Linked DNA regions of Notamacropus eugenii. Each later gene encodes a partner of the first gene's protein in a complex. Links are inferred from orthologs where the notes say so. Each region holds a gene or a part of one and is shown in the gene's direction. Other genes may lie near its edges. The genes, in order: VTI1B, STX7, STX18 and BET1L.

What was found.
Region 2: VTI1B (region 1) and STX7 share a complex: the UniProt entries of both Homo sapiens proteins name them as parts of the SNARE complex. The link is inferred for Notamacropus eugenii from reciprocal best matches to the Homo sapiens genes VTI1B and STX7.
Region 3: VTI1B (region 1) and STX18 share a complex: the UniProt entries of both Homo sapiens proteins name them as parts of the SNARE complex. The link is inferred for Notamacropus eugenii from reciprocal best matches to the Homo sapiens genes VTI1B and STX18.
Region 4: VTI1B (region 1) and BET1L share a complex: the UniProt entries of both Homo sapiens proteins name them as parts of the SNARE complex. The link is inferred for Notamacropus eugenii from reciprocal best matches to the Homo sapiens genes VTI1B and BET1L.

Annotation. Positions count from the first base shown.
Region 1 is NC_092872.1:312,456,952-312,463,914, forward strand, and holds the start of VTI1B (vesicle transport through interaction with t-SNAREs homolog 1B), read left to right. Parts: upstream 1-3,944; 5' UTR 3,945-4,411; coding exon 4,412-4,523; intron 4,524-6,963. UniProt on the Homo sapiens protein: V-SNARE that mediates vesicle transport pathways through interactions with t-SNAREs on the target membrane. These interactions are proposed to mediate aspects of the specificity of vesicle trafficking and to promote fusion of the lipid bilayers.
Region 2 is NC_092873.1:217,747,397-217,754,838, reverse strand, and holds the start of STX7 (syntaxin-7), read left to right. Parts: upstream 1-4,417; 5' UTR 4,418-4,439; exon of another isoform or gene 4,440-4,558; 5' UTR 4,559-4,622; intron 4,623-4,803; exon of another isoform or gene 4,804-4,922; intron 4,923-7,442. UniProt on the Homo sapiens protein: May be involved in protein trafficking from the plasma membrane to the early endosome (EE) as well as in homotypic fusion of endocytic organelles. Mediates the endocytic trafficking from early endosomes to late endosomes and lysosomes.
Region 3 is NC_092877.1:61,755,699-61,763,591, forward strand, and holds the start of STX18 (syntaxin-18), read left to right. Parts: upstream 1-4,879; 5' UTR 4,880-4,991; coding exon 4,992-5,165; intron 5,166-7,893. UniProt on the Homo sapiens protein: Syntaxin that may be involved in targeting and fusion of Golgi-derived retrograde transport vesicles with the ER.
Region 4 is NC_092873.1:28,167,676-28,173,192, forward strand, and holds BET1L (BET1-like protein), read left to right. Parts: upstream 1-3,964; 5' UTR 3,965-4,080; coding exon 4,081-4,099; intron 4,100-4,236; coding exon 4,237-4,349; intron 4,350-4,474; coding exon 4,475-4,531; intron 4,532-4,634; coding exon 4,635-4,802; 3' UTR 4,803-5,011; downstream 5,012-5,517. Other genes in the region: SIRT3 (NAD-dependent protein deacetylase sirtuin-3, mitochondrial), read left to right, coding at 1,647-1,856, 3,176-3,187. UniProt on the Homo sapiens protein: Vesicle SNARE required for targeting and fusion of retrograde transport vesicles with the Golgi complex. Required for the integrity of the Golgi complex.

The DNA of each region.
Region 1 (6,963 bases):
TTACTTAAAGGTCAATCTGATTAGATTTTGTCACATTTTACAAAATTATATTAAGTCTTATCACTAGCAGGCATTACCCAGAGAATCTCTACAAGTGCCTAGAACCTGAAGATGGTTGAGGAAATACCTCCACAAACCTGGCTTGATCCATGCATAGCCCTTTGAGATGTACAAGAGGTATTTATCAGACTTCTGAAGATCATGGTCGGTGCCAAATGACTTCACACTCTTTAAGCTACAGCTATATTGGGTTTTGTATTCATCCTATTGTAATTTTGCTTGTTTTATTAGCCATATGTGTGTAATGGACCTTTTACCTGTCTGCTTGGATTGATATGATTTGGGAACCAAGGACTTTGAACTGCAAGTTGTAACGTCATGGTTTGCCCAGTGTTTAATGCAGAGACCCATTTCATGGTCTCTAGCTCCCTTTCTTGTCAACAGTTTAACTCCTCAAAGAAGAAAACTGTGACAAAATGGGGGAAGGTGATGGGCTGTACCAATAGAAAATCTGCAGGCTGAACTGCCAAAGCCTATGGGCTACAGGTATGTTGTGGTATACAGAGACCAAGTGAGTCATTCAGTAGGGATTTTATCATATTCTGCTGACCAGTTATACTGCCACCAAGATTAATAAATGGAAGACCTGAATACATCAGTCTGCCATGACTGACCTCTGAGCAGCAAAGGAAGAAATTCCTGATTGACTTCATGGACTCAGTTAACCTGGAAAAGGATCCCAACACCAATGACTGTTTTTTGAAGGCTTATTTGTTTCACCCAATAATTAGGACCTAATCCTTCACCTGTTATCTACTAGAGACAGAGGTGGTACTCCACATAGTAAATCCAATTCCCTTGCAAGTCATGACATCACCTTCCTGATGTTATTATTGGTCAACAAAGGACAAACAACACCACCTATCCTTAAGCACTGTATGGGTGTTGCCTCAGACAAACAGACCTAAGACCTTAGCTTAAAAAAGCCAAGGTCTCCCACTACATCTCTGGCCATCTCCATATGTGCGGATCTATATCTTGCCAATGGACCCGAATGGTTCTGGAGGAGAGAGTGAAGCTGTTGACTTTGCACAGCCTTCCCTCACTTAATTCCAATTCTCTTGCAAGTCATGGCATCACCTTCCTGATGTCACTAATCCTCAAGAATGAACTATGTATTTGCTGTTTTCATTTTATGCCCAGTTTTATGCCCTTGGGGTTGGGAGAACAGGAGAGTCTAATATTTATGTGTCTGATCTAACATGCCAGCTATGCCTTTAACTGAACCAACTGCTGAATAGGTGCACATGTCCCTTTGTTCTTGGGAGAAGGGATGCCCCTAGTGGGTGAGGGGGTCAAACATCCAGGACTTATGTGATTCTGTTTGCAATCAGTAAGGCAAACTTAAACAAAAACCAAATTGTATTACTATAGATTGGAAAATGACTCCTGATCAGTCACTTTTAATTGGGAAAAAATTCAAAATTTTTGACCCTCCTCAACACCTTTCGCAGTCCTACTTGTAATTTGGGATTTGGCTTGGGAATCAGCACTGTGTACAAAGGGAGGTCCTGTAAGCACAAAACAATACACAATCCCTTTGAGACATACAGGAGAGAACCCAAAGTATCTGCAAAAGATTTCTTACAGAAGATGGAATTTAAGTCAAGACTTGAAGGAAGCCAGGAAGCAGAAGTTAGAAGGGAACTTCATGTAAAGGAATGGAGTTGGAATAGGGAATGGCATTTTGTGTCCATCCTTCACTGCTGAGGAACATCATACCATCAGAAAAATAATGACATGACTTGCACTTGACTTTGTTTTGAGTGTGGGAGGGCTGTGCAGGTCACCAGCCTCACTTCTCCTCCAGAGTCATCTGAATCCAGTGACCAGATATTCATCAGGATGACTGGAGATGGCCCAAGATGCAATGGGAGACCTTTAGGCCAAGGTCTTTGCAGGTACTTACTTAGGGTGAGGCAACTCCCATTCATTGAATAGGTCTGTTTAAGAAGTAGCCAGGGCATGGCTCCTTTAATGAGGTTAAGAAAAAGAAAGCCATCAGGCAGGATGGGAAACAGCAACAGTTACTATTGATAATCACTCTCAAGCTAGGAAGGTCCAGAGAAGCCTTCAGGCAGGGCCCCAATCAAGGAACAGCCAGTAGGCCAGTGTATGGATGGATGGTGGTGAGGAGTAACTGTGTAAGAAGGCTAGAAGGGTAGGAAAGGGTCAGGCTGTGAAAGGCTTTAAATGACAATAAAGAGATTTATATTTGATCTTGGAGATAAAAGGGAGCCACAGTAGTTTAGTGAATACTGAACTAGGTGGTACAATGGATAGTGCACTGGGCCTGGAGTCAGGAAAGCATCTTCCTGAGCTCAAATCTGGCCTCAGAAAATTCCTAGCTGCGTGACTTTGGGCAAGTTCCTTCACCCTATTTACCTCAGTTTTCTCATCTATAAAATAAGCTGGAGAAAGAAATGGTGAACCATCTTTGCTAAGAAAACTCCAAAGAGTCAGACACAACGGAAAAACAAGTGAAAACCTTCTCTCAATTAAGACGTAAAAGAACAGTTTATACTACAACATCAATATGATCAAAATGAACAATTTTGAAGGCTCTTATAAACTACTAAAAAATTAAATGAGCAGAAGCACAATAATTCTAGACAAAAACACTGTAAAAACAACTTTGAAAGCTGTAAGAACTGTGATTAATACAATGACACTTCATAACTGCAGAAGAGGGACAATGAAATATACTATTAGAGAGATGATGAGGAGACAATTTGATATAGTCAATAGAGAAATTTATAATTGTTTATAACTGACAATGTATAATTGTTACAAAAACTTTCCTTTTTTAATCTTTTTTTAAAATGGGAGAGAAAATAGATTACTGTGAAAAAAAAATTTTTATTGATGTTTTCTTTTCCTTACATATCTCTCCCTCATATCCTTTTTCCCTCCCCTTCCCAGAGAGCCATCTTTTGTGTAACAAATAGGTGCAGTTTGTTATTTTTTTTTTTTTGGAAGAAAGATCAGTACCACTGATTGACATGCTGAAAAAATCAGAAAGCATGTGCAACGTGTAACACCCCTGGACCTCCCACAGGAGTGTCTTCTCATGTTTCTTCATTCCAGTATACCTGATCCGCCTAATTCTGTTAATTTCTGATTTTTTTGGTGTGTTGCATGCACTTTTTTTTTGTGGATTTTAAATTTATTTTGTTAAATATTTCTCAATTACATTTTAATTTATTTTTTATTTTTTACCTCTTTTTTGTGGATTTTAAATTTATTGTTAAATATTTCTCAATTACATTTTAATCTATTTTTTATTTTTTCCCCTCAATTATATGTCAAACAAAAATTTTTAACATTCTTTTAAAAAATTTGGAGTTCCACCTCCTTCCCCCCCCTCGAAGGCAAGCAATTTGATATTGATCATACAGGTGCAGTCAGGCAAAACATTTTCATATTAGACATGTTGCAAAAGAAAATGCAGACCAAGAAAGCCCAAGAGAAACCAAGTAAAAAAAAATATGGCGCCTGCACTTTCAGACGAGGTCCCTGTATTGAGTTGTACCTGTTTTAAGAGACCTCGTAACGACGCGGGAATAATCTATAATTTTAAACAAAATATCAATAAAGTTTAAAAAATAAAAACTTGCTAGGATTAGGAAAATCACCTTGGCTGCTATGTGTAAATCCTCTCCGGGACTCAGTTGCCCGACCTGTAAAAGAGGAAGCATCAAGCCTTCAGAGTTAATAAACCAGTCTTAGCTGGAGAAAAAAAAAAAGAGAGAAGCAGATAGTCTCAGTGGACTGGCACGTGACTATGCGTGATGACGCACAATCCGATCGCGTCTTGGGGAAGCATGTCGCCTTATCACCGGGACTGTCACGAGTCGCTTACGTCGAACTACAACTCCCTCAATGCACCGCGAAACCACAGCTTTCCTACGGCCCTGTTTTTTTTTTTCTCTCTTCCATTATCGCCTAGTGCAACGGGTGACTCTTAACTCTCGCTCACCCACTTGTGACAGCTTAGTCGTCTCCAGTCTGGCGCCCAAATCACAGCACGGCTCATGGACGAGAGAAGAGAGATAGGGTGGCTTCGGCTTCTCCCTGCCTTACGCGGAAATGTTTTAGGTTTCTCATCAGGCATATCTTGGATTGCCCCCGGTGGGTGGCAAGGTGGGACCTCGTGGAGCGATTTCCGGCTCTAAAGGACCCCGCTGCTTCAGTCTCCCGGAAGCGCCTAGCCTTCCGCTGTGGCGACGGTCGAACTAGCTGGGGGCCATGGAGTCGCTAATACGGCGGTTGAGCCCGACGCTGGGCTAGAAGCGGGCCCCTCGGCCCGGGACCTCGGCCCTGCCGGTGTCGGGGAAGCTCGCCCTACGCCATGGCGGCTGCTGTGTCCTCAGAGCCTTTCGAGAAGTTGCACGAGATCTTCCGCGGGCTGTACGATGAGCTGCGCGGGGTCCCCGACAGGCTCCTGGGAACCGGGGGGACCGGTGAGTCCTCTGGGCCAGGGGGGCTGGTGTCCGGGGATCCCGAGGTGCCAGGGACCCCCGCCCCCGTTCTCTTAAATTTCTCCATTCCTCCTGGGGCTTCCATCGCAAAGTTGCGAGGAAAGCTCTTGGGGGGCACCGAGGCTCCCCAACTCCAGGCTAACCCGTCGTCGTTTCCTAAGTGCCTCTGGGAGCGCTTTTGTGTGCCAGGCACGCTGGGATTACAGTGGATAAAAAGGGAAGATAATGTCTGCCGTCAAGGTCCTTAACCACTCAGCTGCTAGAACCATCTTATTAAAGCACAAGTCCGACCAAGTCATCCCCCCCCCCCAAAAAAAAAAAAAAACCAAGACAAACAACCAAAAGTCCAGACGCCGCCGTCTCCAGACTCCAGGCATTTCCTCTGGCTTGTCCCCCATGCCTGGAGTGCCCTCCCTCTTCGTAGACATCTCCCGATTTCCTTCAAATTTCATCTAAAACCCCACCTTCTACAACAGGAGGCTCTCCCCTGTACCTCTGAATTCTGTCCCCTTCTGCTGGTTGTGTTCAGTTTACCCACGTCTGGGGGAGCAGGAGCTGACATTTCCCGGGCTTAACCCCGTGTTTGGCGCATAGTAGGCCACCTACCTACCCCCCGACCCTTTTCTTGAAGATGTCTTGTTGTTGTGTTTGTCCTTCGTTCTCGAAGAGGAACATGACATCAAGATGCCGAGGTGACTCCAATGAGGGGACAGTCATTACCACTGGGGAACCAGCCAGAGGCTCACCATTTCACCAAAGGACAGCTGTTGGGGAGCTTTTTTTCCTCCATTAAGTCAAACCTATATTTTCCTCTTGGCCATTCCTCTTCATTCTGCCCTGTGGGAACGAGCAAAACTACCTCCTCTCATTTCAGCATCCCAGTTCCTTTTCCACTCTTCTCCCAGCTAAACATTCCTACGTTGTTCCACCAGTTCAAATATGTCAGGTCACGTCTTTGAGCTTTTATTGTGCTTGGTATGTACCAAGTACTGTGCTGAGCCCTAGGCACACAAAGAAAGTCAAAAAAATAATCCAGGTGTTCAAGAAACTTACAGTCTAGTGGGGGTGACATTCTGACAGCAAAGGAGATATACAGGTTAAATTGGAAATACTTGCAGAGGGAAGGCAGCAGTGTCATTAAAGGGCATGGGACCCTTCATTCTCCTGGTTGCCCTCCTCCTGAAGCTGTTTGCTTTACTGAAGTCCTTTCTAAAATCTGGTGCCTGGAAAGTAATGAAATATTCCGTGTGGTCTGACAACAGGGCACTGCCACCTCCCTCCTCTGTGCCTTCCAACATAGCTTCCTTTGTGTTGCTTACTTAGTGGGGCCGCTGACTAGTGCTGGGGATGATGTGCTTCTCCCCTAGTTTTGCTTTTTACTTAGGGCACCTGTCTAGTCTTATTTCAGTACTAGTGTATCAAAAGTTCAACTGCTTTGTAGTTCTGGGAACTTCACTTCAGATACAGCTCCTCTTAGACTCTTCTAAGTATCCTGCATTGTTGAACTGATTCAGTTATGTCAAGTCAGCCGTCTTCTATGTGCTCTCCTCACCATCTCAGCTGTTCCTTACTGGAAGCAGCATTAGAGAAAGTTGGTTTAATTCAACTGAAGAAACTTGACCAGATAGAATAATACTTCTTAAGCTCTTTGCACACCTCAAAGCCCTATGTAAATGTTAGATGCCATTAGTAGTAATCTTTAGGCACTGTGCTGAAGCCAAAACATGGGGAATTTGTGTCAAACGGTATTAGAGTTAGGGATAAGTTAATAAGGGAAGTTGAGGAATGTCTTGTTTTTCTGGATATTTAAAAATAGAATAGATTTTCAACTCTGATGGTTTAGGTATGGCCTTCTAATTTTTATCCTTATGGGTTCAAGGTGTTTCTGTTTTTAAGGAGGAAATAGTATTCCTTTTCACTTAAGAGATCATAAATAAGCCACAATATTAATGAAAAACAGCATGCATTTTTGATTTACCTTTCGTCTAAAGTCTAGTAATACTTGAGAATTCATTTTAGAGATAAGAAGTATGTTCTCTGTGCTTAGAGGTGCATGTGGCAACATGCAGTGCTTGAGATTTCTAGCCTGGTGCTATGTGATGCATAAGTACAGCTTTCTTTGAAAACCAGAAAACTCAGTACATTGCATCTGTTTCATTCTCAACCTGACCTTCTCTGCCTAGTCCTTTATCATGGCCAAAGAAGGAAGGAGACAGGTTTGGAGAACTGTCTTTCAGATAAATGTAGTGTCCACTCAAATTGCACTGTGTCCAGTCAGTTACTTCTTTATCTTTTAGGCCTTTCCTTAGCCTCTGAGATCATTTCTTAGCTGTTTAAAATATTTTTTCTATATGTGTGAAATATTAGGTACCGTGCCACAAACATACACCTCATAATCCTTACCTTTACCCTCTATCCTGTA
Region 2 (7,442 bases), on another chromosome or scaffold:
AAGAGAATTCAGCCTCACACAGATACGTTTGGAAAAGAGAGAAACATTGCATACAACTGGAAGTTAAGATATACAGGCAATGGAGTATAGAAATCTATTTTGCCCTACAGGAAAATAGAGGGGAAAGGGAATGGAAGAAGGGTGGGTAAAAGAAGAGAGGACAGACTGGAAGAAGGGGTGGATGGGGTGCATACTGTCCTAGGTAGGGGGTAGGGAGAGTTGGTGTGAAAATTTTGAATTCAAATTCTTGTGGAAGTGAATGTTGAGAATTGAAAAATAAATAAATTATATATTAAAAAAAAGAAAAGATTGAAGCATTTCATAATTGTGAATATCTTCTTTGATGCTATATCAAAACTTGACCAGTTACTGTTACAAATGTAGTGGTAATTGACAAAGGTATGAATCCAAAACATTATCAATAAAGTTTTTATACTGCTATATTAAAAGTCATTGTTCCATATTGTGCTTTGAATGGATCCTTTACTCATTCATGGTTTTATAGCATCCTGCTTTGATCATTTGGAAAATATTGGTTCACTAAATTATACATAACTTCCAAATGTTGATGCATTTCATTATACAACATTGTAAAATCATATTTATTTATATCACCCCTAATCTCATCAGAAAAATCTTTAAGTGTTGGAAAACTTTCAAACTCATTTTTGGTAGACACACATTTTCCAAAATTCTATTTTTGTTGACATTTTAAATTTTGTCTTTAGCAACAAATTCTATCAATTGTTTTCCTTGAAGTAAGCAGACCATTGCACTTATTTCTGGAAAAAAAAAAAACTACCATGTATCCAAGTCTGAATAACAATAGTGTGTCTTATTTCATTCAAGTAAAAATGGTGATCTATGAAAAAAAGTGCTTGTTCATCTGGCAACTCACATGATTGCACAAGTAGTCTTCCTGGAGACAACCATCACTCTTCAGCATGCAGCAGAAATGGTTTATATATATACTTCCCATTTTGTCACACAGAATACTAAAAAGACATTACTGAAATGTTGAGATTTAATAAAATTAATATTTTCTATTACTTCATCAAGGACATTCTTAAGTTAAACTTTTTTTTTCATTGCAGGTGAATGGGGATGATGAATACAATGACTACTGGTAAAGTTTAGAGTCCATCCCTTGATTTGTGCTGTGGCACTAGGAGTTTTATCTAGAATTTTGTAACATCAGCACAAAAGTCAACACAGTTGCTCCAGGATAAGCCATGAGATTCAAAAAAGTTATTCAACACTTTGTGTATTTCAGCACCATTTGTGTTTGTTGCCAAGAATTCACATAAAGTTCTTCAGTGATTTGCTGGAATACAAGCAAAACATCAGGTTTAACCATGTTCATACATTTGTCCAAATACAATTCTGTAGATGAGATATCTTCATTATTGCAGCCAAATCTTCATTTCACATATCAGTGGAAAACTGCACTATACAATTGTGAAAGGATAGTGAAAAAAGCAAATAACATCTTAGTATTATTGTGAAAATAACTTTGACCTTGCAAACCACTTGAAAGGGTCTCTCTAGGACCTACAGGAATTCTCAGATCATACTTTGAGAATAGCTGTTCTAAAGGAAACAGATATTTCTAAAACAAATATGTGATAAAGACCACTCACTTCCTTTCTGTTAAGACACAGTCAGTTTCATAGAATTACAGAACTTGAGAGTTGGAAGGCACCTCATTGGCCTTTAAAAGGTGATCATCAAAAAAAATTCCTCTAACTTCTTTATAAGTTACTAGCATATGAGCATGAAACTTCTGAATAGTCTATAAGCCTCTGTGCCTTTTGGTTTCTTATTATTGTACCATATTCTCTATCTAATCTTACCATTCTCCTTATACCCACTTTTGTCTTGAAGTCAGAGATTCATTTCATAGATAGATTCATTATTGACACAAAGTAATCTGTCTCTCTCCCTCTTCCCCACTTCATCTTCATGCATAATACTATATGTATGTATTTGTGTTCATATGTATATTCCCACCTCATCTATTTCATTTTCTACAGTAGGTGTTAGTACAAGTCTTCATGATGGATTTGTTTGTTCTAATTAATTAATTTTGCTTAAGCTCATTATATGTGCTTTAGGGTGAGAGGGTCTAGTACCATACAGAAAATTGTATTTCTTGTTGCTCCCTTTGTTGATCAGTGGTCACAATAAGATGTGAGTCTTACCTTCCAAGGAAAAATTCAATCAAAATATTTTTCTAGCCAGCACAATGAGTCCAAACAATGACCTCACCCCTGTAACCTTTCCAAGTTGACCTTCTCATCCACCATCTACATTTTATTTACTTTGAGCAAAGCATCTATTATCTTTCCATGTCAGACAGCATTTCTCAAACACAACAAAAGTTTGTCTGGTTTTTCTGACTTTACAGTAATTTCACATTAGGATTAGAAAGACTTGCCTTTCTCCAGGCATTTAAAGCCCTTTATACCTTTTTAGTCTTCTGACATTTTACTCTCCTCCATTCATTCTTGCCCCAGTTATACTGGGCTAATATTGTAACAGCAAGGACCCCAGCATACATAGGAAGGCCTGCTATATAGGTTCTTAGATCTGTTTTTCTAAAAGGAAAGTAACTTTTAAAGGGTCAACAACCTACTTTAATCAAAGCATATACATCATTCACTTGGTTTAGGGGGAAAAGTCAGCACCCTGAACTTCAGAGAAAATACAAACAGAGAAATAAAGATCAACAGACAGATCCAACTGTCTGACCATCTATGCATAGTTAGAAGAGAGAGAAGCACCAATATGTGGGTTTTCAAAGCCAGCAGACTCCTTAGTGGCTTACCAGAGTCTTATATGGCACACAAACCTTCCTTCAAAAACTAAGCCCCAAAACAAAACTTCATCTCAGAGTATTTATACACTTTTCAGAGCTAGAGGGCAGGACCCTCTGAACCAGTGTCTCAGTAGAAATTAACAAAAGGTATTGAGGCTTATCAATGGGCAGGTAGTGAAGATCTTTAACTCTTCCCTCCACCTACTATTAACCTTAAATTACCATTACTACTACATACCCTCAAGTAGCATATTCTGTTTTTCATCTCCATACCTTTGCACTGGTTCTCCCCCATGCCTGGAATGCTCTGTCCTCTCACTCCTATCTTCACCTCAAAAATGAATCCCTAAGACTCATTTTAAATTCTGCTTTCTACAGGATGGCTTTGCCTATTACTCCCAAATGATAACACAGAGTACCCTTCCAGATTATATATGCGTAAATATATATTCATGTGTAATATATGGAAATATGATACTATAAATAGACTTATCTGTAAATATATGTGTTTTAATGATGTGGTTTGAGAGGTTCAGGGACCCTTTAAGGACTGAAGTACAGAAGAGGGTTGTCTGAAATTAATTCAGGAACTTGGGTAATCTTTAAATCAAGATTGCAAAAGTTTATTGTAATGCAAATATGACTGACAGAGCTCCTTAAGAAACTTGCAACTTAAACAGGAATGATGCTAAACTTTTATAGGAAATGTAGTAGATTATCTGGCAGATATGCTAATTAGGTGATAACATATAACACACAGGCCTCATTCACTACTGGAAGTCAGGGGAAGGAAGGGGTTTCTCATCTGTGTTTTTTTGGTCCCTCTGCAGCAAGATAGCTTTGAGAGTTGATATCTATAGTTTGACTTCTGGGTTGTATACTATAACTTTGGGAAACAATACATGATGATTCTGCTGGTACAAGAGAGTCTTGTTTTTACAAGAGAAATTCTACAAAGGTCAGATTGTTCTTGGAAGGGAGAAACATAGTTTGTCTTACTGGGGCCCGCTGATGAGTTATTGCTAGGCTGGGGTAAAAAATTGTCAGGGATAGTGTTTTGAGGCAAGGGAAAATATGATGTTGGAAGAGGGGTCCACTATCAGCATCAGTAATGTAGGTAAATACACATATCTATCCACATATGTAATCTAGGTGAATATAAGATGTATACAGATAGTCTGTATATACACATATAGAGATCCATACAGTCTATCTGTTTATTTATATATCTTAAATTGACCTAGTTATTTTGTCTACTTATTTACATGTTGTCTTCCCCCTTCCCCGTTATCTTAGACTGAGCTTTTAGAGATCAGGAACTCTTTTTGGGGGGGTCCCCTATTTTGTGTCCCTAGCATTTAGCACAACAAACGCTTCTTGGCTATCTGACCGCCATCACACTCTGGATGTTACTTTTCTTCTGCGCCTTTACATTTTCAAGCCCAAACTGTGACATCTTTGTCTCCATTTTCAGGCCAAAACTGTGACATCTTTGTCTCCGTCAGCACAAAGTCAAAAGCAATAATCGTCTCTCTCTTCCCATTTCTAGGCGGAGAAAACTGGGCAGAAAGGGCGGGCTCTGACTCCACCCTGAGCCCCAGAGCGCGCTTCCTACCTAAGGGTGAGTCGGAATGGAAGTTCCGGACACGTTCATTGCCATAACTGCCAAGGGGTCCGTGGAAAAGGGATTCTTTTGGCAATGAAATGCAATTTAATCATGCCCATGCTTCACACCAACAGGTTGGGATCTTCTGCGTCCGCAGAGGGCGGCGGCGGCTTTCTTCCCGGTAAAGGAGACGGACAGGTAAGCTGGCTCCTGACAGTACACACCTACCGAAGGGCTCAGCTACGTCTGCTCGCCGACTCCCTGCTTCGCGCAGAAAAAAGGGCGGGGCGGGCAGGAAAGGGTGCGTGTCACTCAGCCCTCGGGGCCAATGAGAGAGCTCGGGGCCCGCCCCCTTTCCTGGGCTCTGCGGCCGGGCCAGCGCAGCAGGGAGGCGGCTGCTGCGAACCACCGCCCATCAGCTGAGAAATTCAGCCGGGTGCCTTCCGGGACGCTTAGGGGTGGCCGTCGGTGGAGGAGGAGGAGAAGGTGGAGGTCTCGGTAAGAGGACGTCTGGGGCCCCTGGGCCGTCTGGCGCCCGCGGAGCGGCGCCGCTGCCCTTGCGGCCTGCCCGCCGCCTGCGGGGTCTCCGCAGCCTTCCTCCGGCGGGGTGTAAGGCGCTGTCCGTTGGCCGCCGCCCTGGGTTTTGCCGCAGCTCCTGGACAGGGCGGCCTGTGCCGCGGGAGTCGCAGCCACGGACCGGGCGCTGCTTGTCCCCGCCTCCCTTCCCCCTTGGCGGGGGCCGGGGCGGAGGAGGCCTGAGCAGTTTCTAGCTGCCTCGGGGCTGACGGGCGTTTTTTCCGGACCTGACAGAAGGCCGGGGGGATGGGGGATGGGGGGCTAGTTCCGCATTCCCGCCCAGCCCAGCTGGCCCCGGGACGGCCGACTGGCCTCTCCCTCCCGGGGTGAGCCGGCGCCCGCCCCAGTTGTGTTCCCCGGTCTCTGCCTGTGCTCCTGCGGTCCCTGTCGCCTCTGTATTCCCAAAGCGCTGCCACCTGAACCTGTTGCTGAGAGGGCACTGGAGAGTAAAGCCAGTGCCCATGCGGGCACCAGGGGAATGTGACTTGGTGTAACACTCCTGTCCCTCTGCCTGAGCCCTCCCAAGGCTTCTCTTTCTTTGCTCATCCGGGCATGAGCACCATGCACAAAGACCACTGCACACGTGAAGTCAGGAGATAGGGAAACAGCTCGTGGTGTTCCGTCCCCTGATTAAAAGTTCTGCTGGGAAACATTGCCACAAACCCTGGCGGAGCTAGCTGACGAGAAATTCATAATTGTGCCCCTGAGGGATGGAGTTGACCTCTTCCTCTTTTCAACTTGTGTTTAATAAACAAGTCTCCAAGTATCATTCAGGAACTGAAAAAAATAGACTACTGTACTGAAATAAATGAACCATAATTTGTATTGTCAGGAAGTCACACGTTCGGTTAAGTTCTTTTGTTGACTTTGGTTAAAATTTTTAATTTTCAGTTACTTTTTTAAAAAGTTGATTATTATGAGTTTTTGAAACAAAGCAGAGTCCATGTTCTTCCTAGTCACTTTTTTTCTTACATTTCCCGTAAATAAAAAAATGCATTGCCTGGGTTACATCACATTTTTTTTAACCTTTCAAGTTATTTTAAATTGAGTAGTTATCTTAAATGTATTGAGGTTGACGTTGTTTGCACTGCCTCCAATATATTCCAGCTATGCTTGTTCAGAACAACTTCCTGCCTATGTGTGGACTCAAGCAAATCATTTTTTTTCCAGTTTTGTGAAATACTTCTCAGCTTGGTAAAGTCCTGATAGCTTAGCAGGCAGCCCTTCTGGACTAGCCTGTGCCACACCTGTGCAAAGATTGATAATGGTTCTGACTTAAGTCTTGTGATATGGAATGAGCAGCAGTAGCAGGTTGCTTCAAACTTGTGACTGCAGGATTATGTTCTGGATTCTTAGTTTCCACATCAGTTAATAAGAGACCATATTAACTCACTAACACTCTGTCCCATCTTTGTTTTTTTCTCCCCTCTGGTCACTTTACTTTACTCCTCATGACACAAATCCTCTAAATTCTAGTCACTAGTTTTCTCTAAGTTCCAAATATTTGGTGCACACAAGTAATACAGGTGTGAATAAAGTAAGAATGAACTTAAATATGGAATTCTAATTGATCCCAAATTTGGGTGCTTGTTGTGGTGAAAGTTGTGGTGAACATGAAAAATCTTTATGGTAATGTAAGCTGAGATTGAAGAGATTTTGGATGGGCTAGAAGAGCTCTGAAGTGAAGCAGATGTTTTTAAAAAAAAAAAAAAAGCTCTAGAGAGAGAATCTCCAAATAGTCTATGATACTTTCTATACTGGGGAACAAGTTTGTCGACTACATATTGTTACGGAATAATAACAATAAGGGATAGGTATTGAACCTGCCATTTCATTGACATAGAGAACTCCCACATGTGGAAACTGCTTCTACCAATGCATATTAGCACGTTCCCTGAAATTTGTAGTTTTAGAGAGTTGCCTAGAACGGTGATAGATTAAATGAATCGTTCAGGGTGTGTACATCAGAGGCAAGACTTGAACCCAGGTCTAACTACTACACCAGACCACCACAGTAACAACCATAATAAACACCTTCTAGTGTTCAGGTCCTTCTAGACCAGATGCAATTGATGCTTTTTTTAAAAGGCACTTGAAATTTGATAAGACTTAAGTATTTCTACATTATACTTCATGCTTTCTGTCTGTCTTTATTATCAGTGTTCTGATAATAGCATTCTAAAGCTTTTTCAAATAACAGAAGAAATAAAACATGTTCTAACTATCAGAACCAAATTCATCAAATGAGAGAGTTTGGTCCTTGAAGGCATTCTTAAATTCTGGTTCTTCTGTGTTGTCATTGAGTCGTTTCAGATGTGTCTGACTCTCTATGACCTTATTTTAGGCTTGGCTTGGCAGAGATACTGGAGTGGTTTGCCATTTCCTTCTCCAGCTTATTTTGCAGATGAGGAATTGAGGCAGACAGGGTTAAGTGACTTGCCC
Region 3 (7,893 bases), on another chromosome or scaffold:
TCTCCTATTTTACTATAAAATCCTAGAGCCTTTGTCTCTTTTCCATCTTTATCTCTCAGTGCTTAGCCCACAGCCCTATTGATGGTAGGTAGTTGATCAATGTTTGTTGAGTGTAATTTGTTGAATTGTATTATTACATGTGATTTTTTTTTACCTTAAAGCTCTGTCTAGAAAATTAAAGGAGAATTTTTAAAATATCTTTCCTTACAAAGGTGTCATAAAACAAAACCTAATGCACACGAAACTGATTATCATTTCTCCCACTACTCTTACTTACAGATACTTTTAGATGGTTAAATAACCCTTTGAATTATCCCTCCTCTGCCTTTCCCTTCCTAAACTGTATAACATGAATCCTCAGATCAGTTTTATGATCAGAATGACTCAATTTTACTGTGAAAGAGCACTAAATGAGGAGTCAAGAGACTTGACTTCCAGCTCTTCGACTAACATTTTGTGAAATTGTGCAATTCACTAAACTTCCTTGGCCCTTGGTTTCCTCATCTGCAAAATAAGGAGGTTGGACTAGATGCTCTCGAATGCCCTTTCTAACTCTGTGATTCTATGACTATTTACCTTGATTGAATTAATCCAGATAATTACGAATTCTCCACTTTGTGCTTGGGGAGACACAGTCATAACAAACTAAGCAAAACCAAATGCCCTTCAATATCCTGTTGTGAACTATAAAATGTCCTCTAAAAATCACATTTTCCCCTTGAAACAGGATGTAGGAAAAGTATTTTCCTATTAAATTCTTTAAAGTTCAAGCTAAAGTATTTTCTTCAGTGTCTTGACGTCCAACTCAATATATAGGACTCAGACATCTTAATTACAGAAGACCCCGTGAAAAGCAAAGAAGGTGGAAACTTGCATTGAAAACCAAAGCATTATGCCAAAAACCAAGGCAGAAGTTTTCTAGGGGGAATTTCCACTCTGTATCAGGCAGTTAGCTTCTGCCATGTTGATGATTTTTTATAAGATGACTTGTGAAACTCCTGGGGCAGATTATTAGGAAAAAGTTGAACAAAAATTCCAAGGGAATGAAGGATGAGGGGAAAGCGAACTTGAACTTTCTACATTATTCCTTCCAGTACCATAAATGGATGCCTGTTGAATGGATTAACAGTTTCCCCAGAGTTTTGACTTATCCTGGTTAACTCAGGTTAAAACTATTATTTACATGATTTTATTTATTAGTGAAATGAACTCTCACACTTAACTTAAAAGGAAGATCTAGAAATTGGCAGGGTAACAGAAATGATCATGGAAAAGAACAGGTGTGCCAAACTGGACATATTTCTCATCTACCTGAATAAGCATTTTTTGGATGTGTGGGAAGAAACATGTGCTGTAGCTCAGTGCTGAAAACATAGGTGATAAGAGTTCATAGTCTGCTCCCTGTGACTGCAGGCTGTGACAAAAAGACGTGATAGCTGAGGCAGGAAAGGGTGAGAAGGCAGTGCATCCAACTCCTGTGAAGCAAGGAGGACCCGAGATCGTATCTGAGCTCTTAGAGTTATGAGTTGTGTGAACCTGGGCAAGTCATTTAACTGCTGTTTCGCTCAGTTTCCTCATATGTAAAATGGGGGTAATAATAACACCTCCCTTCCAGGGTTATTGTGAGGATCACATGAGGCAATAATTGTAAAGCACTTAGCACAGTGTCTGACATCTAGTATGTGCTATCTATATATTATTATTATTCCTAGCCAATTATCATTTAATAGTTAGTATTTTATAAAATGCTTTAAGATCAGCCTCGAAATCATGGTTCCTGACCTCAGCAAATGTGGGACATCCTGTTTCTGTGAAGATGGGAAGATTTCTTCAAAGGTCTGGGAAAAATATTTAAGGCAGCCCTTTCTCCATGATCTTTGAGCCTGGGCAGTTGTGCTATATATCCTTCAACAAATCACTCATAGAAACATGTGTTTTGTGTATTGTGCTCTACTTTCACTTTAAAGTGGCAATTACCATGTAACCATTTTTTTCCTTTCTTTGTTTAGCATATTTGCTGCTAATGTTGGTGAATAGACATTGAATGTTGATCACTTCTCCAACATCTGAAATCATTCCTCAAGAAGATCTCCCAGGTATTGATTTTGTACCTGATATGAAATCCCTACCTGCCAATATTCAGCTAAGACAAGGAGACTAAGGGACAATACGGATTTCCTATGGAGTCAGGCAAAAGGGATCCAAGATGAAGAACAGATTGATCTTTGGGGAATGAACAATTAAGAGAAAGGGAAATCAGTCAAGACTGGTACTTTCACAAAATCCTCACCATCTCTAATTATTAATGACTTTCTCCCTTGAAATCCACATTGCACTTTGCAAATCTCCAATGCACTCATCAGATAGTGTATGGAATTATAATTATATGTGCTTGTGCCTTAAAGGCAATAAACATATCTATTCTATAGGAAGGACATGCTTACTATGTGCCAGGCAGGTACTGTGCTAAGAGCTTTTCAAATATTATCTCATGCTCTTCACACCAATGGAGGGAGTTTAATGTTATTATCCTCATTTTACAGAGGAGGAAATTGAGGCAGACATTGATTGAAAGACTTGCTCAGGGTCACATAACTAGTTAGCTATAGCAGTTACTTATATATTTTCCTTTTCTCTCTCTCTTTCCAATTTGAATGCTTTGAGGAAATTTGCATACCTCTGGATATGCCTAATATTATGGGGATAATAAGAGTTGGAGATGGAGAGGAGGAAGCTTGAAGAAGGTGGAGTGAGAAAAGAGAAGTTTTTTTGTCTTCATTTTAGGCTAGGGAGTTGGCATGGAACATTTGGAAGACTGGAGATACTCACTCTGGTTTGAGAAACAGGTTGGGTGACGGCAGAGGCAAATGGTGCAGTGGTTAAAGTACCTGACGTAGAGTCAGGAAGACTCTTCTTGAGTTCAACTCTGGCCTCAGACTTGCCAACTGTGTGACCCTGGGCAAGTCACTTACCATTGTTTGCCTCAGGTTCCTCATCTGTAAAATGAGATAGAGAAGGAAATAGCAAACCTCTCCAGTATCTCTGTGAAGGAAACTCCAAATAGGGTCTCAGAGAGTCAGTCACAACAGAACCACAGAGGCATAAATGCATAGTTGCCGTTGTTTTTCACGTTTTTCCTATTTCTAAGCAGTTAAGTTCTTGACATGTACACTCATTCCTCTATTAGATTTGCTTTAGAAAGTCACGAAACACACCACCCCTGGATGTTTCAGCGATACCTCACTCTTGAGCCAAACCTCAAACTAGAAAAAAGTCACCAATTTTCTGAATTCCTAAGCAAAGTGAACCCAAGTTCCTAAAAACAAAATAAAATAAACTTTGCACAGCACAGGTACTCAGTTAAGTTATTGTTGAATGAGCATCTAATTAACATACCAAAGTCTTGCTTTTTTTTACATTTCTTTATTTCTTTTCAGAATAACACTAAGTGAATTGGTCAGAATTCAACAATGCATCTACTAATGTTCCAAATTCCGTGGAACCAGACCTCCCCAGATGAACTTCAGTGATTCATTGTAGTGTAGAAGAGACTCTGGAGCCTCAAAGGCTATTTCCGGGGGACTGCAAATTCCTGTAACTTCTGTGAAGCAGACAACGCAGCTAGGTGGGGCCGTGGAAAGATGCTGACCTGGAGTCAGGAAGACTTGAGATCCCGTTCTGTTTCAGTCATTTAGGAGATCCTGGGCAAGACATTTAACCTCTCAGCCTGTTTCCTCATCCGTCAAATGGACATAATAGCACCTGCCTTACAGTATTGTTGTGGGTGCTTCGCAAGCCTTAGAGTGCTCTATAAACGCTGGTTATTATAAGTTAGTAGTTTCCTGGAGGGTCAATCTAGCTAAATATGGAAGCCTGGCTATTAGTTGATGGATTCTTAGGTCACTGAAACTGCATAAAAAAAATTAAATGGCCCTCAGCCTTTTTTTGTTTTTGTTTTTTTGCAATGACAGGGGATGGGATGGGAGTGGAGAAAAAGGCACCAAAAGGGGCAGATGCTCAGAACCACATTTAGGATTTTGGTTATTGTTATACATTCCACCACGTCACTATTTCTCAGGTCCTCACGATGAGTCGGGGAGCCACAAATCGTAACTTGATCAGAAAAAGAAAGCTTAAACTAGGCGTGAAGGCGACTCCAGCTCACCCCTTCAGAATGTAAGGTTCTTGAAGGCAGGACCCTTGGCAGGTGGCTGATCACGGACGTGAATAAACCATCTCCTGCAGGACTTCAGGCAGCTTCCACAACCTCTGTGGATTTAGAACACAGGTCTGGACCAGCGGACCAGTCAGCCTGGGCCTCAGTTTCCCCATCTGTAAAATAAAAAGGGGGGGTTGGGCCAGATCAGGGCTCTTAACCTGGGGTTCAAAAACCCGTAAAATTTCAGAGGGATATACGACCAGCAATGGGGGGGAAGGTGACGTTTTTATTTTCACTAAAGTCTCCCTGAAATTTAGCATTTGCTTTAATTATTTAAAAACGTGAAGGGGGTGGGTCCAAGCATTTATTAAGCGCCTTCCATGCCTGCCCTCAGGCGGCTTCCCGTTTAATCTGGCGCCCGGGGCCCTGAGCCTAGTCCGACCCCCTGGACCCGAACCTCGCCTGGTCACGCACCCTCTCCGGGCCTCAGTTTGCCGGCCTCTACGCCCCGCGGCTCCCTCCCACCCCCTCTACACTCCCGGGATTCCCAGGCCAGCGGATGCCCGGAGCGCAGACACCCGTGAGATGGTGGGGGGGGTGGGGGGAGAGGAGGGGCGTGGCGTGGCGTGGCGTGCGCGCTCCCGAGAAAAGGGGCGGGGAGAGCGCCTCCCGGGAGCGCGCAGGTAGCCCGCTACTTCCGGCGGCTGGGACGGGCGCGGAACCTCGGTTGCCTGACAGCGGTTGCCGGGGGGAGGGTCGGAGGGACGGAGCCCCCTCTGTCTCCGTAGTGGGCGGGGCCGGGCGGACACGGTGGCTGCGAAGTCGGGGCGCCATGGCGGTGGACATCACCCTGCTGTTCCGGGCCAGCGTGAAGACCGTGAAGACCCGGAACAAGGCCCTGGGGGTAGCCGTCGGAGGCGGCGGCGGCTCGGACGGCGCCCGGGAGGAGCTGTTTCGCCGGAGCCCCCGCCCCAAAGGGGACTTTTCCAGCCGGGCCCGGGAAGTGGTGAGTGAGTTGCCAGGGCAACGGAGGAGGGGGAGGGGGCCCGGCCGTGGAAGGTAGCCGCGTGGAGTAGCGGGGCTCCTGGGCTTCCCTCTGGTCTCCTCCCGCTGTCAGTCGGTGAAACCTCGCGAGACTCAGTGTACCCCGTCTGTGGAAGGACGCGGCGGCACCCGGTGGTCCCCGAGGTCCCTCCCGAAGGCTGGCACTTAGCTTTTTACGTGTTCGTGGATGGCTTGAGACCTTTGTGGGCCTCAGGTGTCTGGTCTGTAAGAGGAGGGTGGCACCGTATTGGCACAGCCATAAGGTGCCGTAGAAATGTTAGTTGTTAGTAACCGCAACTCCTCAGCCTTTATATCCTGCTTCAAGATTTGCAAAGCATTTTACGTGTGTTTCCTTTTATCTCACAACCACCCTGGGAGGTGGGTGCTGTACGTTATCCCCATTTCACAGATGGGGAAAGTGAGGCACAGAGAGGCCAAGTGGCTTCCTCACAGTGTCACCTAGATACTGCAGGGAATGATCCCCAAACCCCTTCCGGTCCTGACATCATATGAATCAGCGTAAGGTGGTGGGAGATGAGTGGGGTCCCTGCCCCAGGCAGACATAGGATGGGCCTCTTCAAGTGTACCAGTGATTGTCCTGTGAAAGAGATTAGACTTGGCCTAGAGGTCAGAACTTAGGTGGATGAGTACAGGTTGATGAGGGACAGGCTTTGGATATAGTTCTTTAAAATATTGTCTCTGACACATGCCATCCCAGTGACCTTGGTAAGTAACTTTGCTTACGTGGGCTTCAGTTTCTTTAATGAGAAGCCTTGGCTGGATGGCTTCTGAGGACCCCCTCCTCCCCCCAGCACTAGTGGAATTTATAGTACTGTGATCCTAATGAAAGGTGAAATGGGCTTCCTCTTCACTGGAGGTCTTAAAACCGAGGCTTAGATGCTTACATTTGTGGATATTGGAAGGCTCATTCTCTCTGGAACAGGTTGAATCAGATAAATGTCCTCCAGTTTTTTTTATTGTGCATCCTTACTAAAATGTTTTTAAACAGGTATCTCCAATATGTATGTATTTACTTGTTTGTAAATTTATAAATGCCTGTTAGCTAGGTTTTATGAAGTGCCTACTATATACTAGGCACTGTTCTGAGCATTGGGGGTTCAAACACCCCCTGCTCTTGATTAACTCACACTCTAGTAGGAGTGAAAATATACAAACTATGTACAGATGAGATTTATCCAGGATGAATTAAGGGTAGTCTCAAAGGAAAGGATCTAAGATTAAGGAGGACTGGTAAAGGCTTTTCCTAAAGGTGGGACTTTAGCTTGAGGCTTGAAGTCTCAGGGAAGGTAATAGGCACAGATGAGGAAGAACATTTCTAGGTATGAGGGTCAATCAGTGAAAATATTAGGAGTTGAGAGATGGGATGTCACATGGAAGAAATATCAAGGAAGCCAATTTCATTGCATCACAGAGTACATGGAGTTTTTTATATTTAATTCTAGGGGTAACAGGGAACCATTGGAATTTATTGATTGGGGTGACATGGGCAGACCTGTGCTTTAGGAAGATCACTTTGACAGCTGAGGATGGAATGGAGTGGGGAGAAAATTGTGGCAGGGAGATCAAGCAACAGGCTGTTTGTAATAGTCTAGGCGATAAAGGCCTACACCAGGGTGTGGCAGTGTCAGAGAAGGGAATGTATGTGAGAGATGTTACAAAGATAAAAATTAAAGGCTTTTGTCCAGATTGCAGAGACAAAATGAGCGCACCTAGCATACGAAGGGAAATGATATACACACTCCCTCTGTATGTGTATGTGTATGTATGTATATAGTTTTGTTTATATATCTTGGATACCAAATCCTTATCAGAGAAATTTGATACAAAGCTTTTTTCTTGCTTACTTCCCTTTGTATCGCAAGTGCATTAACTTTTCTGTGTAAAAGATTTCTGTTGTGTTTGACATTTAAAGTCCATCATAACCTAGTCCTACCTTTCTAATCTTCTTAAATTTTACTCCCCAACACATACTCTTTAACCCAGTGACATGGCCTCTGCCTGTTCCATGAATGAGACACTCCATCTCTCAGCTCCAGGCATTCTCTCTGGCATTCCCTTGTACCTGGAACACTCCCTTCCACTGTTCAGACTGCTGACCTCCCTGACTTCCTTTAAGTCCTAAATAAAATTCTACTTTCTAGAGGAAGTCTTTTCTAAATCCTCTTAATTCTATACCTTTTCACTATGAATTATTTTCTATTTATCATGTACATAGCTTGTTATATATTTGTTTTCGTGTTGTTTCCCTCATCAGATTTTAAGCTCCTTGAGGACAGGGATTGTCTCTTGCTTCTTTTTGTATCCCTGTGCTTAGCATAGTGCCTGGTGCATAGCAGATGCTTAATAAATGTTGATTGATTGATTGATTGACATGTAAATCAAAGGAAGCTTGTAGTTTTACTTCACAGATTTGAAAAGATGACCAAAATATGGCAGTACTCAATGTTAGAGGGGTTGTGGAATAATAGGAACACTAATACATTGTTGGTGGAGCTGTGAGATGGTACAGCCATTTTGGAAAGTAGTTTGGAATTATGCGACTAAAGGGACTAAAATGTCTACATACTCTTTGGAACAGAGACCCCACTACTGAACTTATATCCCAATGAACCTAATAATAAGAAACAAGTCCCCACATACACCAAAATATTTATAGCAGCACTTTTTGT
Region 4 (5,517 bases), on another chromosome or scaffold:
GTGGTGCTCTGGATAGAGGATGGAAGGTTGGACAGAGGGGGATGGGTGGGGACAGTGGACCACATGCAAGTAGAGGTGTCCAGGGCACTTTGGGAATTGTCTGCATAAAGGTCACAAGCCTATGGGAGTTGATGAGGCCACCAGGTGAGAGAGGAGAGAGAGAAGGGCCAGGACAGATCCCCCCCACAGGTAGGGAGCAGGACCTGGGGGAGGATCCAGCCAAGGAGAAAGAGGAGGAGGAGCAGAAGAGAGGCCAGGTGGGTGGGAGGAGAGGGTCTGATCCAGGACAGTGAGGCAGGCGGGGCCAATTTGGATGATTCCTTGGTCTTTTTGGAGGGGGCAGTTTGAAGCCCAGGGGTGAAAGATACCAGATGTGGACAAGTTTTTCTAGGACTCTGGCTGAGGAAAGAGGAAGAAGTACTGGGGGTGGTGACCAGGGAGGGATTTTGTAGGCCCCTCACCTGCATTTCCCAACACATCCCCTTTCCCCCACCTACAATACAGGTATCATTCACAAGAAAGATCAGAAAACAGTTTAACAAAACAAGCTGACCTAGTGAGATCTTTTCAAAGATGGGAAACCTGGGTGTTTTTGCTGCCATTGGTGAAAGAGCCAGGAAACCCTGAGAGATTGGAGAAGAAGTAGGGGTGGGACTGAGTCCAGGAAGAAAGGCTGGCCTTGGGGAGTGGGGCAGAGGGCTCTGCATGAGTCCAGGGGTGTGAGGTGAAAGGAAAGGAAGGAACCAGCAGTAAATGGCCTTGGTCAAGTGAGAGGCTGAGGGAGAAGGGAAGACCTCGGAGGAACCTTCTTCTGCCCTTTTCACTGGGTTCACTACTTCCTGTCAACAAGCATTTATTAAGCACCTACAGTGTGCTAGCACTGTCTGGGGATACAAAGGAAGGCAAAGCCAGGCCCTGCCCTCAGGGAGCTCACATTCAGAAGGGGGAGTGACAGGTCAGTGACTAGGCATGTACAATATAGAGGGAAGGCTTCAGTGTTGGGAGATGGTGGGCATGGGGCCAGGAAAGGCCATAGGGATCCATGGGAGTTGTCAGGAAGAGTCCTTCCGTGGCTGATAGAGCCTGGGGGCAGAGGGTTTTCCCCAAAGCTGAGGGCTACCAAACCCTTTGGTCTTCCCTGTTTTTGACTTATCACCTTTTCCTCTCGAATACCCTGCCTTCCCTCTGTCTACCCAGTCTTTGTAACAAGTCAGCAGAGTCAAGCCAAACCAATTCCTCCCATGAGGGCAGAGACTTTGGTTTTGTCTCTTTTTTCTTTGTTTTTGTCTTACCCACAATTCAGTTAGGCCAGCTTTTATTAAGTGAGGGGAAATGAAGAATGTCCTCTTGAGCTGGGGAGTTCCCAGGCTTCCAGAGTAAGCTGGAAAGGAATGGAGGGAGGGAATGGCATTTGTACATTGGAAGGTACTTGAAGCCTCAGGGGAAGCCCCCCATCCCTGGGGGCAGAACCAGGAGCCCCTGGGAGGCTGCACACCCCATTCCTGGAGATCTCTGGAGACGTTCTGAGACATGTTGGATGAGATGATGCTGGCTGGGGGAGCAGTCTCTGTATAGCAAGCAGCTCCCAGGGCTTTGGGAGCCTCTGAAAGATGGCTGGGTGATGTGGGCTTTTGCCACTCTTTCAGGTGGAGCCTTTCGCTAGCCTGTCCCAAGCATCAAGAAGGTCTGTCCCTCGGGTGTTGATCAACAGAGAGCTGGTGGGACCGTTTGCCTGGCAGCCTCGTCATAATGATGTGGTCCAGCTGGGAGACATCATCAGCGGGGTGGAGATTCTGGTGAAGGCCCTGGGCTGGACGGAGGAGATAGAAGCCCTTCTCCAAAGAGAGACTGCCAAGGTAGGGGAGGCCTGGGAGGCTAGCATGGGAGCGTCTCAGCTTGCGTATGGCTGAGGCGCCCTCTCCTGGGGTGGTCTGAGGCAGAATAAAGAAGCATTAGAGATAGAGATAAGGGCTGATGTGTATGTGCGGCACCTCCTGTGTGCCCAGCACTGTGCCCAGCTGTTTACAGTGATCATCTTGTAACATTCCTGAGGAGGAGGGGCTGTTACGATCCCCATCTTACACATGAGGAAGCTGAGACACACAGCACAGAAGTGACTTCAGCTGGATTTGAACTGGGGACTCCCTGACTCCAGACTCCTCTAGTGTCCTTTAGTTGTCCCTAATATATCAGAAGCCTTGTTTTTATCTTTTTTTTTCACACTCTGGACTGTGAGGACTATTAGACTGACCTCTGTATTGGGGTCAGAATCCTGCAAGAAGTAGGCCCGATGCTGCTGGCTGTGGCTGTCCTGTGGAGGATGTGGTCGGCCAGCTGTTGTCACCTTCCCTGGGGATGCGCATGGGAAATGGACAGCCCTTGAGGAGGTGGGGAGGGTAGAATGAGGAAACCAAGGAGGTGTCCTGCACTGCTGGGGGCAGGGGAAGCTTCCTGGTCACTCAGGCTTGGAAGCACTGGGTCATGGGTGGGGGGTGGTGGTGGAGAGCCTGGTGCTTCCTGGTCACTCAGGCTCGGAAGCACTGGGTCATGGGTGGGGGGGGGTGGTGGAGAGCCTGGTGCCAGCCACAGCAGTGAAGCCATGAAGGGTTGAGGCTGGGAGGAGTGAACTGGAACACCGGTGCTTTCAGCAGTGTAGACTTGGGAAACTGTACTGGGAGCTAGGAGCCCTTAGTGAGGCAAGAAAAGGGGAGACAGATGTGACAGCCATCGCCCCCCATCTGACTCCTCTCTCTCCCCTTCCTTCCCTGACTCCTCCCCCCTTTCCCTTTCTCCTTTGTTACTTTCTCCCTCCCTTTCTCCTCTGTCCTCTCACCTTCCCTCTTTCTCTATCCTTTATCCCCTCTCTCCCTTCTCCCTCACTCTCCTATGTATCTTTTCTCTCTCCAAAGTGAACACGTGATCGTGTTCCCCATTTGAACTTGAAAGCAGTTCCCATGTTCCCCCCAGACTCTCTCCAGACAACAAATGCCTCTCTCACCAAGAGGTTAGTTAGGTGACATTCATGTGAGAGGGTGGACTCCCTTTGCTGTGGCATGGGCCCTGGGTATCTTCAGCATTCCCCAAGGGGCACAGCAGGTGCCAGACGGTGGGCAGTGGGGTGGGGGAGAGGTGGGAGGGCTAGAGTCCAGGCCTCAACCCTCATTTTCCTTCACAGGATGCTCTCTGAGAGGTGGTGGAGGTGGACCAGGACCCAGGGCAGGTCTGGTGCAGTGCCTGGGGCTGCCCCTTCTCAGCCCTGTGTCTGATCTCACCTCTTCCTTCACGCGAGCCATGAATTCAAGATCTCTTGTGGAAGCTTGGTCTCTCAAGAGTCAATAAACATTTATTAATCACCTACTAATTGCCAGGCACCCTGCCCTCAATCTGACAGGAAGACTGCACCCCCCCCCAAAAGCTTCTGAAAAGAATGTGTGGGGGGCATCCCCAAGGGCTGCAGCCAGGCCACGTCAGGGGGGATGGCAGGCTCGTTGCCCTCCTTCAGTGGGGCTCCAGTCGGATGCCCCGTTCCTGGAGGTGGCTTCCTCAGGAGCTGGACTCCGGGGGCCGCCGGGAGGACGTGAGTGACCAGGCTAAGCTGGGACTCGATCCTGCTGGAACAGAAGGTGCCCGGGCCCCCTAGGACAAGGCCGGACGGGCGCCGTCCCTTTGGTGCCCGCTGCGGGCAAGGCCAACGGGGCAGCAAAGGCGCACCGCCCCGAACGTCTCTGCCCGCCTGGCTCCACGTGCCCCCCGTGATGTGGCGGAGCGCGGCCACAGTAGGGGGCCTGGGGACGGCCAGGGGCGAGGCCCCAGCAAAGCGGTCAGACGGGCGTGGCTTCGTTACGCGGTCCCGCACACAGTGGGCCCTTCACACATGCGCACTGGATCTAACCGGACCCAGGGCCGGGCCTGACCGGGAACCTGACCCCCCCCGCCCCCCCCGCCTCGGAGCGCTCACGGCGCGGGCGGGGCCAGCGGCCCGGAAGCTCGGGGGCGGGCCCGGAAGGGGCGGGCCCGGCGTGCACGCACGCACGCGCGTCGCACTGCCTTCGGCTCCTGCGGCACCGGGAGGTGGCGGCCATGGCGAGCTGGGCGCGGGGTGAGGCGGGGGCGGCGCTGGGGGGAGGGGGCGCTGGGGGGAGGCGGCGCTGGGGGGAGGGGCGGGGGGCGGGGCCGAGGGCCCCCCTCGCTCCCTCCCCGACCCCCTTGATCCTTGTCCCCTCCCGCTCCGCGCAGGCCCAGGCCCGGGGGGCGGCGCCGTCGCGGACACGGACACGGACACGCTCCTGGACGGCGAGAACCAGCGCCTGACGGACGGGCTGGCGGCCAAGGTCACGCGCCTTAAGGCCGTGCGTGTCCGCGGGGCGGCGTGGGGCGGGCGGCCGCGGGGGTGGGGCGGGCTGAGGGGGTGGGCGTGGGGAGGGCCGGGGGAGGGGCAGCGCCGACTGAGCCCCGGCGCTGCCCCTCCCCCCAGCTGGCCTTGGACATGGACCGGGACGCGGAGGAGCAGAACCGCTACCTGGACGGCATGGTGAGGGGCGCGTGCGCGGGAGGAGGGCCGGGCCGGCGTGCGCGTGCCCGCGCGTGCCCGCGCGCGCCCCCGCCGGCCGCTCACCCCGCCCTCTGTGCCCCAGGACTCGGACTTCTCGAGCGTGACCAGCCTGCTGACCGGCAGCGTGAAGCGCTTCTCCGGCATGACCCGCTCGGGCCGGGACCACCGGCGGCTGCTCCTGGGCGTGGCCGTGGGGCTCGTCATCCTCTTCTTCTTCCTTTCCTACCTGTTGTCGAAAGCGCGGACCTGAGTGGGCCCGTGGAGCGCTTCCCGGACCCTATTTTTGTACCAGCCCCCTGCCCTCCTTGGCGAGAATAAAAGGGAAAAGCCATCCCAACCACGCGGTCCCAGGGCTCGCATCGCCCCACCTGTGCCCCCGTGGGCACGGCTGCCAGGCCTGCCGGGCCGGGCGTGGGGCCGGAGGCAGCCCTGGACTCGGGGACTTGGCGTCCAAGCGGCCACGCGTCTGGTTCTTAACTTTCGGACTGTGAATTTCAAGTTCTCTTCCCCAGCCCCGCCCCCACGGAGAAGGCCCGCAGCGTCTGCGTGAAGTCCCACGAAGCGTGAAATGGGAGGGCCCAGGAAGGAAGGGGAGGGAGAGCGGGCCCCAGGCCCGGGCTCCTAGGCAGGTCTTTGTTGTCTCTGGCGTTAGCACAGCTGACCGGGGATCCCAGATTTTCCCGCCATGCTGGCACCTTGTGGGCGGGGAGGTTGGCCTGAAGAATCTGAGGGTGCAGACGAGGAGAACCCATGTTAGCCCTAAGAGCAGCACGCGGAGGATGTGGGGAAAAGAGACTGGGGTCTCCCCAGTGTAGCCCGTGGGCCCCCAGAGAACAAACGAGCCTCTGCTCGTTCCGGGCCGCTCCCACGCGCAGAGATCGAACTGTGACTAGGGAGGGTTTCAGCGCTGCCCCGGGGCTGCGGGCTTGGGTGCGGACAGACGGCCGCCTCAGGAGGAGTCACTG